3 linked regions of the Caenorhabditis elegans genome follow. The protein of the gene in region 1 interacts with the protein of each later gene in a pairwise test. Each region holds a gene or a part of one and is shown in the gene's direction. Other genes may lie near its edges. The genes, in order: T07D4.2, ZC455.1 and dyf-3.

What was found.
Region 2: the proteins of T07D4.2 (region 1) and ZC455.1 interact in a two-hybrid assay, tested with the Caenorhabditis elegans proteins (one large-scale study listed by BioGRID).
Region 3: the proteins of T07D4.2 (region 1) and dyf-3 interact in a two-hybrid assay, tested with the Caenorhabditis elegans proteins (one large-scale study listed by BioGRID).

Annotation. Positions count from the first base shown.
Region 1 is NC_003280.10:8,871,973-8,875,726, reverse strand, and holds the start of T07D4.2 (UPF0046 protein T07D4.2), read left to right. Parts: upstream 1-1,784; 5' UTR 1,785-1,786; coding exon 1,787-1,827; intron 1,828-1,893; coding exon 1,894-1,921; intron 1,922-2,328; coding exon 2,329-2,419; intron 2,420-2,655; coding exon 2,656-2,780; intron 2,781-3,754.
Region 2 is NC_003283.11:12,771,564-12,775,317, forward strand, and holds the start of ZC455.1 (LIM domain protein), read left to right. Parts: upstream 1-1,958; coding exon 1,959-2,017; intron 2,018-2,244; exon of another isoform or gene 2,245-2,246; coding exon 2,247-2,360; intron 2,361-2,433; exon of another isoform or gene 2,434-2,565; intron 2,566-3,754.
Region 3 is NC_003282.8:3,397,389-3,401,142, reverse strand, and holds the start of dyf-3 (Clusterin-associated protein 1 homolog), read left to right. Parts: upstream 1-2,019; coding exon 2,020-2,041; intron 2,042-2,241; coding exon 2,242-2,353; intron 2,354-2,444; coding exon 2,445-2,703; intron 2,704-2,759; coding exon 2,760-2,960; intron 2,961-3,405; coding exon 3,406-3,576; intron 3,577-3,622; coding exon 3,623-3,754. Other genes in the region: pdhb-1 (Pyruvate dehydrogenase E1 component subunit beta, mitochondrial), read right to left, coding at 404-534, 1,070-1,255, 1,386-1,455.

The DNA of each region.
Region 1 (3,754 bases):
GTTTTAACAGCTTTCATGAAGTTTCCCCTAAATGCTATCCCTTTTATCTGAAATTCATAATTGGCTCAGCTTTACCAGCTTTCCAAATATTTCTGGCTTTGACGCACTTTAAATATATTATTTCATTAAATCCTAAATATAAAGTTCACTAGTTTTGTCAAGAACACATCCAAACAACTCGGTTCCTGTGTACTATTGCATCTTGTGACCTACAAACTAGTCAAGGATCTTTGAATTTTTACCATAAGTACCCTTCAATAATATCTCCCAGCTCCACCAATTCAATCAAGTTCAAGATTTCAAATTGATTGATGTCGACAAATTAATTGAGAGTACAACTCGATCCGCCCTCATCAAATCCTAATCCATCACTCGTAATACATCGACCTTCTTCATCAGATCTTCCCTGTTTTTTGTGCACCACTCATCATTATTATCTCTTTCCACCAGACTCTTCTCTTTCAGTCGACTCTTCGGCTCAACTTTGATCCCTTATTGTGACCCGTTGTGGGGTGTTAAAAAAGTTTATTGATGAGTTATGACAAGTCTTTGTGGTGAGACTGAGAACGATGAGGTGGGGGAGGAAGGTATGAAGGTGGAGCCATTGTGTGCACAAAGTGGTTGCTACTGGTGGTGAGTAAATCAACACCTGATGAGCTGTTCAAAAAACAGAAGCAGAAGAAGAACCAGTCACTTTACTCTTTGCAATGTTTTCAGCTTTGCTTTCTTATTTCTATGATACTAGTATTACGTTAGTTTCGCATTATATTTTTTCAGAATTTTAGCTTGAATTTGTTCACTTATAATTCGCATATCACTACATATAACTTGAAATAGAAATGGAAATAGTTAATAAGATAATGATGGAAAGATCAATTGAATGACTAAAAATAAAACAATTAGAACTTCTGAATGAGTTTAGAGGTAGATTATTGGCTACTGGACCTTCGTAACAGTATCTATTTGTAAATACTTATAGTAGTTTTTGTAATTAGTCTTTACTTATACTAGGGCAATACAAAAATATATTCTGAATCGCTACAGTTTGGATGAAATCTCAATAAAAACTAGGCTCCAATTTTTAACCTTTTCCAAGTGTTCAGAAACTTTATTTCTACAGTTTAGAGTTTACTTATATTTTCCTATTCCACTGCATTAATTTTCTCATAATAGAACATGTGAGTAGATAATTTCTATGTGATTTATGTGATACGTTTGGCATATGTTGTACTTTTTCTCAGTTGCACACTTATCAGCTTGTGACCTGGTGGCACTCAACCCTTGCCGTCTCTCGAGATACATTGTACCGCAATAAAGATTTGAAAAACAATACGACATTAGCAAGAGCTGGTCCAAACTTGTGCAAGGTATGAGTGGCGTTTCTATTGAGAAAACACGGTCTACTGTATTTTAAATATCTTGATAAATGTTATTTGCTCTGTTAGTATAAACTTTACCAATTATGTCATTGCCAACAGCTATATTCAACTACGTCACGAATCCTATGTCTCACTTCTTTGCAACAAAAACCCTTGATCTTTTTAATCACATCTTTAAATGAGAGTTGATCTCATTAAACTACTCATTTGCTCAAGAAAATTCTGCACTCAATGCTGAATTGCTTTGTCCGTGTTTAAGTACCTAATTCCATGATCCAGACACATCTTATCTCATTCCGAACATTCCCGAACTTTCGTGTCATCCTTCACTTCACTTTGTCACTTCTCAAAAAGTTGTCGTTTCTTCTTGCTTGTCGACCCAAAAAATCATCGAGATTTTTGCAGGAATGCTGAGTCCTGCATTGCTCAAAGTGTCACTCAATCGAAGGTTCGTCAATGATTTTTTGTAGCTGCACTCATTGTTTGTTTTATGTTTCAATCTTTGTGTTTTCAGAAGCTCCGCTCCTGTACCACAAGATGAGGTGAGCCAATTGGTATTGAAGAAGGATAGAACTCTGATCAAATGGAAAAAAGAGGAAGAAGGGGAGGGGGTTAAGATGGATAAGATGGAAATGCTGGAGGGAAGAAGAAGATGGAAGGTTTCATTGGCGGGTACCTTTGAGAACCATTCCCGTGCTTTGGTCACTTGTCCTGATTTTTTCTTCACTACAACCTGATTTTATGGAGCTATATTCTCAAACAGAAGTTGATAGATAAAGTGTATCACCATTCCGTTTAAAAACTGTATTTGTAAAAGATTTATGTCTCAGTTCCTTAACATTTTTGGTAGTAGTCCTCGAACCTCGAAGCTACAAATAATAATTTGCTCTATTTATATGATACTTCCACTTCAAAACATTCATATTTTAACATAATATATTTATTTCAGAAAATGATGTTCCATTCGCGAAACCGGGCTGCATCATATTTGCAGCCGATGATAGAAGATCAGGAATTGATTGGATTCAACAGAGATAGAAGTGAGTTCATAATTTCTTTTTGCCTCTCTCCCGATTCTCGTAAAAAATGAGAATAAACAGCAAAATGTGTAGTAAAGGTTGAATAACGTGTGAATACCACGATGGCAGCTTCAATGTTCTTCTTTTAAAATAAGTTATTAACTTTATAAAAAAAACCAGAGAACAATTCAGATTGATTCTCAGAAAAAAAAGAATACTTCCGTCTATTTCTAAGTTGTCATAACTATCTTTATCAGGAAGAAGTTCCGGCTCAATAATCGTCGACAGTTTTGAACTCGGAAATGCTTCGCCAAGTCGCCGCGGTTCAATTGCATCTGGCATTCCAATGGACAAAAAAACCCGACGGAAGCTGTCAAATCCGGTAGGTTTTCTATGTTGTTAGCTCCCATCAACAATTGGAAAAACAAAATGAAAGATAAAATGATAAATGCGTTCGAGCATGATACCAATCTGATGAAAAGAAGAAACAATCTATCTCATATTGAGTCGGCATACCAACTGACGTTGGAGTCTCTACTTTTTTGATTTAAACGAAAAAAAGAAAGAAAAGATATCTGAGAGCCGATGATGGTCGTCTTTGATTCACTATTCATCAGATGATCCACTGACGAACATTTTCTCACCTTTCCCTGAGATGTGCCAGCCTATCAGTTTCATTTTTACCGAGTTACCGACCTTTTTTTTTCGTAATTTTTAGTTGCTTTTCGGGGATTTTTTTGACTACGAAATTTTCTCAGTAATTTTTTATTTTTCTTCCTTTGAAGAAAACATTTTGCTCGATTTCCATTGTTGCTCGAGGTTATTCACAGTTTTCTGAATGTGAAAAATTATGAGAAAACGCGGCTCCCATTCTTTCAGACTTTCTCTCAAACCTTCAGTATTTTGAAACATTTCAAAAACTCGCAGAGCATTCGTATTATGGTAACTTGTCCAGGCGACCGGCAGTTAGTTTCATATTCGTCCAATCTTTCCAATCTAGTTTCAGCCGAAAACCACTGCTTTCCCAAGTATACATATATTTAAAAAATAAGAAAAGAGAACTAACTATTAACAGAAAAAGAACGGGTAACTGAATATCCTTCTGCATTTAGTTTGATGTATCCTTCAAAAAGATAAGGAACAAAAAGTGACCAGCACATACATATATCGGATGTCTCGTTTGCAACTTTTGGCCTCCCATCCCATTTCCTGTCACCTCGTGACCTCATCGTTAGATCGAAAACCATTTGAGTGCAGTCAATGTTTTTGACACACTTCAGATACTCGCCATAAATCTTTTGAATCTTACTTCTCCATTCAATCTTTTCGGCTCTATTTCTTCATTTGTTTCTTTCT
Region 2 (3,754 bases), on another chromosome or scaffold:
AAGCTGTGACGAGCAGTCAAGAGCCATGACATGCTGCGTCTCGCTCATTTCTACACAGTATTATCTTTGACGCCTTTACTCTACAGTACCTATATCCTGTCTGTGGTATGTTCAACATCTGTGTTGGTTTTTGAATACACGAGTAGTTGAAGTCGCGCGTTTTTGTGAAAAATAGTGGGAGAAATGTGTGAGACGCCGAGAGCTCTAGAGATGAAAAGTAAGGAGAACTTTACCACAATGATAACCAGAGAAACCGCGCAATTTCTCACTTAACTATCGATTACCTATTTTTTCATTTTTATTATCATTTAGTCACTCTAAAATTCTTGGAAAATTAGATTTTTGTTCCTCACTTTTATGGTAAAAAGGGATTTTGTTTTAAAACTCTTTTAATTCATATAATCCAATTTGACCAAATTTTCAACGCTCCATTTCAAAAAAATTCAAACTTTCAGTCAGTTTTGGAAAAGTACCAAGATTTTGAAAAATTGGACTTCTTTAGCAATTTTGAGAATCGCTGCTGGTTTGAGACTCTATAATGATCGATTAATTTAAAATTTTTGGTTGAGTTCCAAAATGATAGTTACCGTGAGAAATTTCCACTTTTTGACTGTAAATTTAAAAAAATTCAAAAGTTTTGTAATGTTTAGTAGTTAGATATTCACCACTTTTAATTTGAACACTATCATTTAGAAACTGTTGAGAAAATGTTTTTTTTAATTAGGGTATGGTCATAATTACAAAAACAGATCATTATATACTCAACCTTGTGACTCACTTTCTTTGGTACTTGAGTGTTGTTTACAACTTCAGTGAGACCAAAAACGAATCGTTTAGGGATAATGGGAAGATCATATAAGATGCATTAGCGACTGAGATATTTTGGAAATATTTCGCAAAAGTTTCTGTAGAATTAAAAGTTTACTAAAATAATGAAAATGGTTTTAACTGTGTAATTTTGAGCGTTCTTCCCAATCTAATTTTTACCTTTTTTTGACTTTATCACGTTTCTCAAAACAGTGGTATCTTCTTTCTTGGCCAATTTTCAATTTAACTCTGTGAATCTATCCAATATAACTTTTTCAACAGTTTAAAGAATTTATATATTTTAACACTGCCTGGTTTTCAAAGTTTATACTTAATATGTGTTAAACTGTGGCGATCAATAATTTTTGCTTTGATAATAAATTTTCTGCATGTTTCTTTTTGAAATATCTTCATATTTTAAACTATCTAAATTTAGGGATGCAGTTTTGATTATTGGCATTGGGAAAAGTTATTCAGGACAACTCCAGTCCTAGTGGAAATGTTTCTGAAGTAAAATCCTCACAAATGGCAGTTCATTAAAATGTTAAATATTCCGGCTTAGAATATGATCTGAAATTTCATTCAATAAAATTTGCCCTTTTCCCTCTGCTAAACATGCTCATTTTGTTCTGCCAACACATGAAAACGAGAGAATCACACTATTTACCCGACAGATTACCTTTCATGCTGGCCTTTCTCTCCGGTGCAAATCTGTGGCTAACTCTGACGCGGTTTTGTGTCCGTGCTCATAAACATGCCATGGACAAATGCTTGTTTCATTTATGGTTTTTGTGTTACTGTTTCTGCTGATTTTGATTTTGAACAATCATCTGCGACTCTTGCTCTTTTGCTCTGCCTTCTGTGCTCATGGCTCTTGATCTAATACCTCTAAGTTTTTTTGTTTCCGCGCGGAAAGGAGTCTCAAGTGCTCCAACCCAAGCTCTTTCACGTATTGATAATACATCATTCTCTCTCGTCCACTTCCAGTCATGCTTTCTCTTTTTCTTCTTTTTCTATTCTAGAATATTTTCTGTATTTATTGTCTCTAGACTCTAGTCAAAATAGGTCACAACAAACACAAAAGTACAAGAAGTTGAAGTACAAATACAAGAAATAAGTAGAAGAAGTGACAAGAAAACATCTAATCCACAATGTCATGTTCCCTGTTTGTGGCAGAAGTTCGTGGCTCAAGGAGATGCTCCGTTTGTAGGTAAGAAGATTAAGAAACTAATTGTACTAACACTAGAAGACAGAATACAATAAAGCATTTCAATAAGATTTGTAAACTTATATGTAGATTCGGAGGTTTTTTAGAAAGTAATATTAAATTCTAAATTGAAAATATTAAACAAATTCTCAAAAGCTCCATGTTACGAATTTTTGAATTTGAAAAAAAAACAATCGAATTATAGTAAGAGAATCACTTGAAAATATTTCAGATGCGATATATCTGCTCACGAGCCAGCGGCCATCTACGTGGCACCGGAACGAATATTTTCAAATCTCCCACCAATCGCCACGTCATTCAGCAACAATAATAGTAGTTTTAGCAGGTATGTTCAAGCAATGTATAGCCGTTAATTGAAAATGATAATCTTGTCTTTTTATCTCTATTTACCTGTCTCGTTTGCTCGAGAACTTTCTCCTATTTAATAATAAAGATCGAGAAATGGATATTTCGCAAAATCGAGAGACGCCGGAAATGAGAGAACGTTTGATTTGCCTTGGTTTGACGTGATATCCGATCCAATTGTGATACGGATTGCGCAGTCTAGTGCTCTTGCCAGATTCTCCACACATTATGACTTTATCATTTCCGCTTTTGTGTCCTCTATCAAGCATGACGTGAAGCAATTTGATTGCGGTTATGAGTAGAGCTTTTGAATTTTATTTTTTGTTCATTTTTTTCAAAGAAAGTTAAAAATCAAAAGAGTATTTTAAAATACATATACCTGGGTAACATTTTTTTTATAAAATTAATCGTTTTTAGAAAATTTGTATCTACAATAGTGTCAATTTTGGTCGTTCAGAAAATTTGATAAATCTTCTTTTTCGATGGATTTCCAAGCACTGCGAATTCTGAAAATTGATATAAAAACCGACTTAGAAACATTTGAACGAACACAAAATAACACAAGAAACCAAAAATTTAGTACGTTATTTTGTTTGAAATTTAGGATAAGCGCAATTTAATTTTATTTTCTTAGTTTTTTTTAAAGAAAAATATCAATAGTTTCGGGAATTTTCTTCAAAAAATTGTTGGATGTGGAAATTTGCCGAGACAAACTTAGTAATGAATAGAATAAGAATATGTAAGTTAAATATTTTTCGTTTTTTCCCAGAGAATTTTGGAAACTTATCAAATGAAACTTAGAAATCTGTAGAAAATATAGAAAACAAACAAAAAAAATTATTTGCAATTTCGACTGAAAATTCAGTAACCTGATTTGAAGAGCTTCAAAAGTTTACAGCACTATTCAAAAATAGCGTAAGCTGACATTTACTTTTATTTCTGTTTTAAGACAAAATCTCTGAGTTTCAAGTTTTTTTTCAAATTCCTCTTTGCATGGATATTATGTAGTTACTTATGTCAAGATTTTGACACATTTTCCATTCACTTCTAACATAAAATGCGCATCAAAAACCAGTACCTATTCCTTACAAGGAGACTTTTTTTCAAAAATAATATTGTTCTGTAGTTAGAAACGCAGAGAAATGCCTTTCCGAGACGAGAAGATCGTTCATTCTCTGTGTGGAAAGCTTTGTGTCAAGCATCCAGTTTTTTGTGAACTTTCTTCTATTCATTTGCTCCTCAGCGGCTTGCCTTTGCTCATTGCTTGTTCGGCTTCTTGTTGATTACTGTTATTTTTTTGTTTTCTTCTACTCGTATTCCTACCTTATATTCAACTCCTGTTGAAAGGGATTGTAGAAGAAACAGTTCAGATGT
Region 3 (3,754 bases), on another chromosome or scaffold:
TTTACAAATTTTTTCTTATCAAAATGGCGTGAGACCATGTGAAAAACATGATTTTTCAGCATAAATTCAACGAAAATGGCTGAAAAAATGAAATTTTCAGTGAAAAGTCGAGAAAAATCGGATTTTAAAGCTAAAATCAGCTCTGTTGAGGTAAAATTTGTGTAGAAATTTCAGAAAAACCCTGATTTTCAGTCAAAAATCTAGAAAAATCGCATTTTTTGTATCAGAAATTGACTTTTTCCTGAAAAATCAGTGTAAACCGAGGAATTTCGTTCTAAAAATAGCAGAAAGCGTGATTTCTCACGAATTAGTCAAAAATTTGGTGAAAATCTTCAATTTTTCGGCTATTTTTTCGCTGAAAATCGCAATTTCCAGAAAACGTGGCACATTGCCAAGACCGTACCCTTCCGGCGGACATATAATATGTTTTTGCGGCTGAATTAATAATCTGATCGATGGCTTGCATGGAAAAATTGAATGTCATGAACTCGCAAATTGGACGGAGCCCGGCGAAGGCAGCACCGACGGCGATTCCTGAAAAAAATGTGATTTTTTTGGAGGAATTTTCAGTTTTTTCTGAAAAAATTTTGCTAAAAATTGAATAAATCGAGAAAAATGCGAAAATTCGAGCTTTTTAGACAATTTTTGCTGAAAAATTGAATTTGCGCGGTCTTAGAGCTTTTCTGCAAATAACATTGGGAAAAATCTGATTTTTATATAAAAAATGTGATTTTTCAGCTTAATTTTCGACAAAATTTTGATAAAACCGGAATTTTCTGCGAAAAATATCAAAACTCCGTAATTTCCGAGCTTTTTGCAGTGAATATTGAAATTTTCAATAAAAAATGCCGAAAATTAATTGTTTTTAGGAAAATTTCCGAAATTTGTTCGAAAAATCCAATTTTTAGTGTAAAAACTGAACTTTTGAGAGAAAAGATCCAAAATTAAAGTAAATTTGGACACTTTCTTTTCGAAAAAATGGTGCTGTTTTTGGGGATTTATTAGTGATTTTGACGTTCCGAGTCAACATTTCTCGATTTTTCTCGATTTCCAGCGTGATTTCCCGTACCAGCGAATCCCATTTCAGTAATTGGAGTGTCGACGACTCGCTTATCACCGTGCTTCTTCCACAATCCCTTGGAAATCTTGTAAGCTCCGTCGTACTGAGCAACTTCTTCTCCCATCAGGAAAACTCGGTCGTCACGTTTGATTTCCTCGTCCATAGCCTGATTTAGGGCGTCACGGACGGTCATTGCTGAAAAAATTGGCGATTTTTATGCTTTTTTAGGTTAAAATTCGTTTTTTCCGTTCAATTCTTCATTTTTAGCCGGTAATCAGCGATTTTTTCGTTTTTTTTCCATTCATTTTTTGCAATTTCTACTCACTGGAAGCCGCTCTGGTCGAGGTGCCAGCGAGACGAGCCACGAACAGGTTTCCACACTTTCTCAGAGCCATTTCGACCGGGGATTACCTGAAAAACCGGAAATTAATTGAAATTTTGAGGCTTTTGCCGGAAATTTTGAGAAAAATAGAGAAAAACTAGGATTTTTTAAAAAATTTAGGTATTTTGATTCAAAATTCTCACATTTTCATTAGTTTTTCTGCTGAGCATATTGTTTTAATGCTAAAAACTCAAAATTTAGACCAAAACCCTTCCAAATAGAATTTTACTGGTTTCTAGGGTTTTTCACTACGATTTTTCACATTTTCACCACTAAAACAGGCGGAAATCGATAATTTAAACCATATTTCCCCCGATTTTAATAAAAAATCAATGAAAGATGCGCAAAAAAGCAAACAAAACTCGGAGAAAATGCGCGCGGCGCTCCTCTCGAAAAATGTGTGCAATATGGCGTCGCGGTGTTTGCGTACAAAACGCCGGTTGAGCTGCAGAAGCTCGTCGACCGTAGTCTTTGGGGTGTTTGCAGGGAGTTTCTATGGGAACGGAGGAAATATTGAATGGGGGAATAGGCAGGCAATTGTTGAGAAGAGAAGTTTCAATTGAATTCTGCACGAAAAATGTCGTATCGTGAGCTGAGAAGTAAGTTTTTAAGGCTTTTTTAATTTTAAATTTGAACTTTGAGATTTTCATATGGAAAAAATAAGTGTTGCATTAAAATCTAGGTGAGAAATGTTTCTAAACCATAAAACGCAAAAAAAAGACCCAAAATACACTTAAAATTGAATTTTACAAAATCATGGCCGAGTTCGGATTCTAGTCCCAAATTTCGCCAACTTCAGACCTGTGTGAGATGACGCGAAGCCTCCGATACCCTCGCTTGATGTCAATTGAGAATTTCCGGACCCCAAATTTTCAGCTGGTGGCTGAATTGCTGGAATGGATCGTGAAAAAGTTAGTTTCCCAGTGAAAAAAATCGTTGGCCGAAAAATATAGAAACTTTGGCCACTAACTTCCAAGCCTACTCTAAGCCCAAAAATTCCAGATTTGAGCCCGAATCCAACCTTGACGCACACGAAGTCCAAACAGAAGCTGATCGGGTCGCTTTCATCAAGAACGCGGTACTCCTGATGCTCCAAAATTCGAGAATCAAGATGAATCCAAAAAAGTTGTACCAGGCTGATGGTCATGCGGTGCAGGAACTCCTACCGGCCATGAAGATCCTCTACCAGGCCAAGGCAGAGGACCCGAACACTGATAACTCGCCAAAATGGACCCAAGTCAAGAATAAGCTCTCGTCGAAGGTGGGTCTCACAGGCCACCAGCCTGAAAAAGCCTGAAAAAACTGTCGAAAGTTCAGATGCAGGAGGTCCGAATCACTCGTCAGCTATCATCACAACTCCCGGAAACAGGTGCCCTGCTCAGTGAGCTGCTGTCCCGGCAGGAGTTCATATCTCAGCAACACGAGAGAGCCGCGTCACGGGCGGTACCACTTGCTGAGGCCGAGAAGGTGCTGCAGGCAACAGTGCAGAACATCGCTCAGGAGACTGAGCAGCTATCGGTAAGCTTGACGGGTCACGGAGCTCCTGGTGGCGTAGGTTTGAGCTCTGGCGTCTTAGAGTTTGAGAGATTGGCCTGGCTCGATCCTGATTGTGAAGCGGACAGTAAAAAGCTTGGACTTCTTCTAATGGCGTGGGCTTGGTCAAAGAGTGACTTGAACTTTGATTCAGACTTTGAAGCTTCATTACCTGAACTCTAGTGGTATATGCAGGGCTTCAAGCCACTAGACCGGGCCTGTGCATCTTCTCCAGAAGCTCAGAGACCCCTAGCCTCGAGGAGTCCGCTGAGGATCTTGGAGCTGAAGGAATAGACTGAATTAGCCTAACTGGCTTGAAGCAACACCCACTCCACTCGAACCCACGTGATTGTTCTTAAAGCCCGGAGGGTCTGAGTCACTTACAATTAGGTTAGGTGCAGGCTCCCCAGCTAACCTCTCAAATTTTCAGAACAAGCTGAACAACGTGGCCAGCGATGAGGCAGAGCTCGACGAGAAGATAGAGCGAAAGAAGCGAGAGTACGAGCAGTTGCAAAAAAGATTCGCAAAGCTACAGTCCTTCCGACCTCAGTATATGGACGAGTACGAGCGGTTTGAGGAGCGACTGAAGAAACTTTATGAGGTAAGACACCGGATACCGAGCTGCCCTGTGAAGCCTAAGCTTCCAGGTCTACGTGCTGAACTTCCGCAACCTGTCCTATCTGCGAAAAGTTCATGATGACTTGGCGAGGTCCGAGCGGCAACGGCAGGAGGAGCTGGAGAAGGCGATGAGGATGGCCGTTGAGAAAATGCGGCTGGAG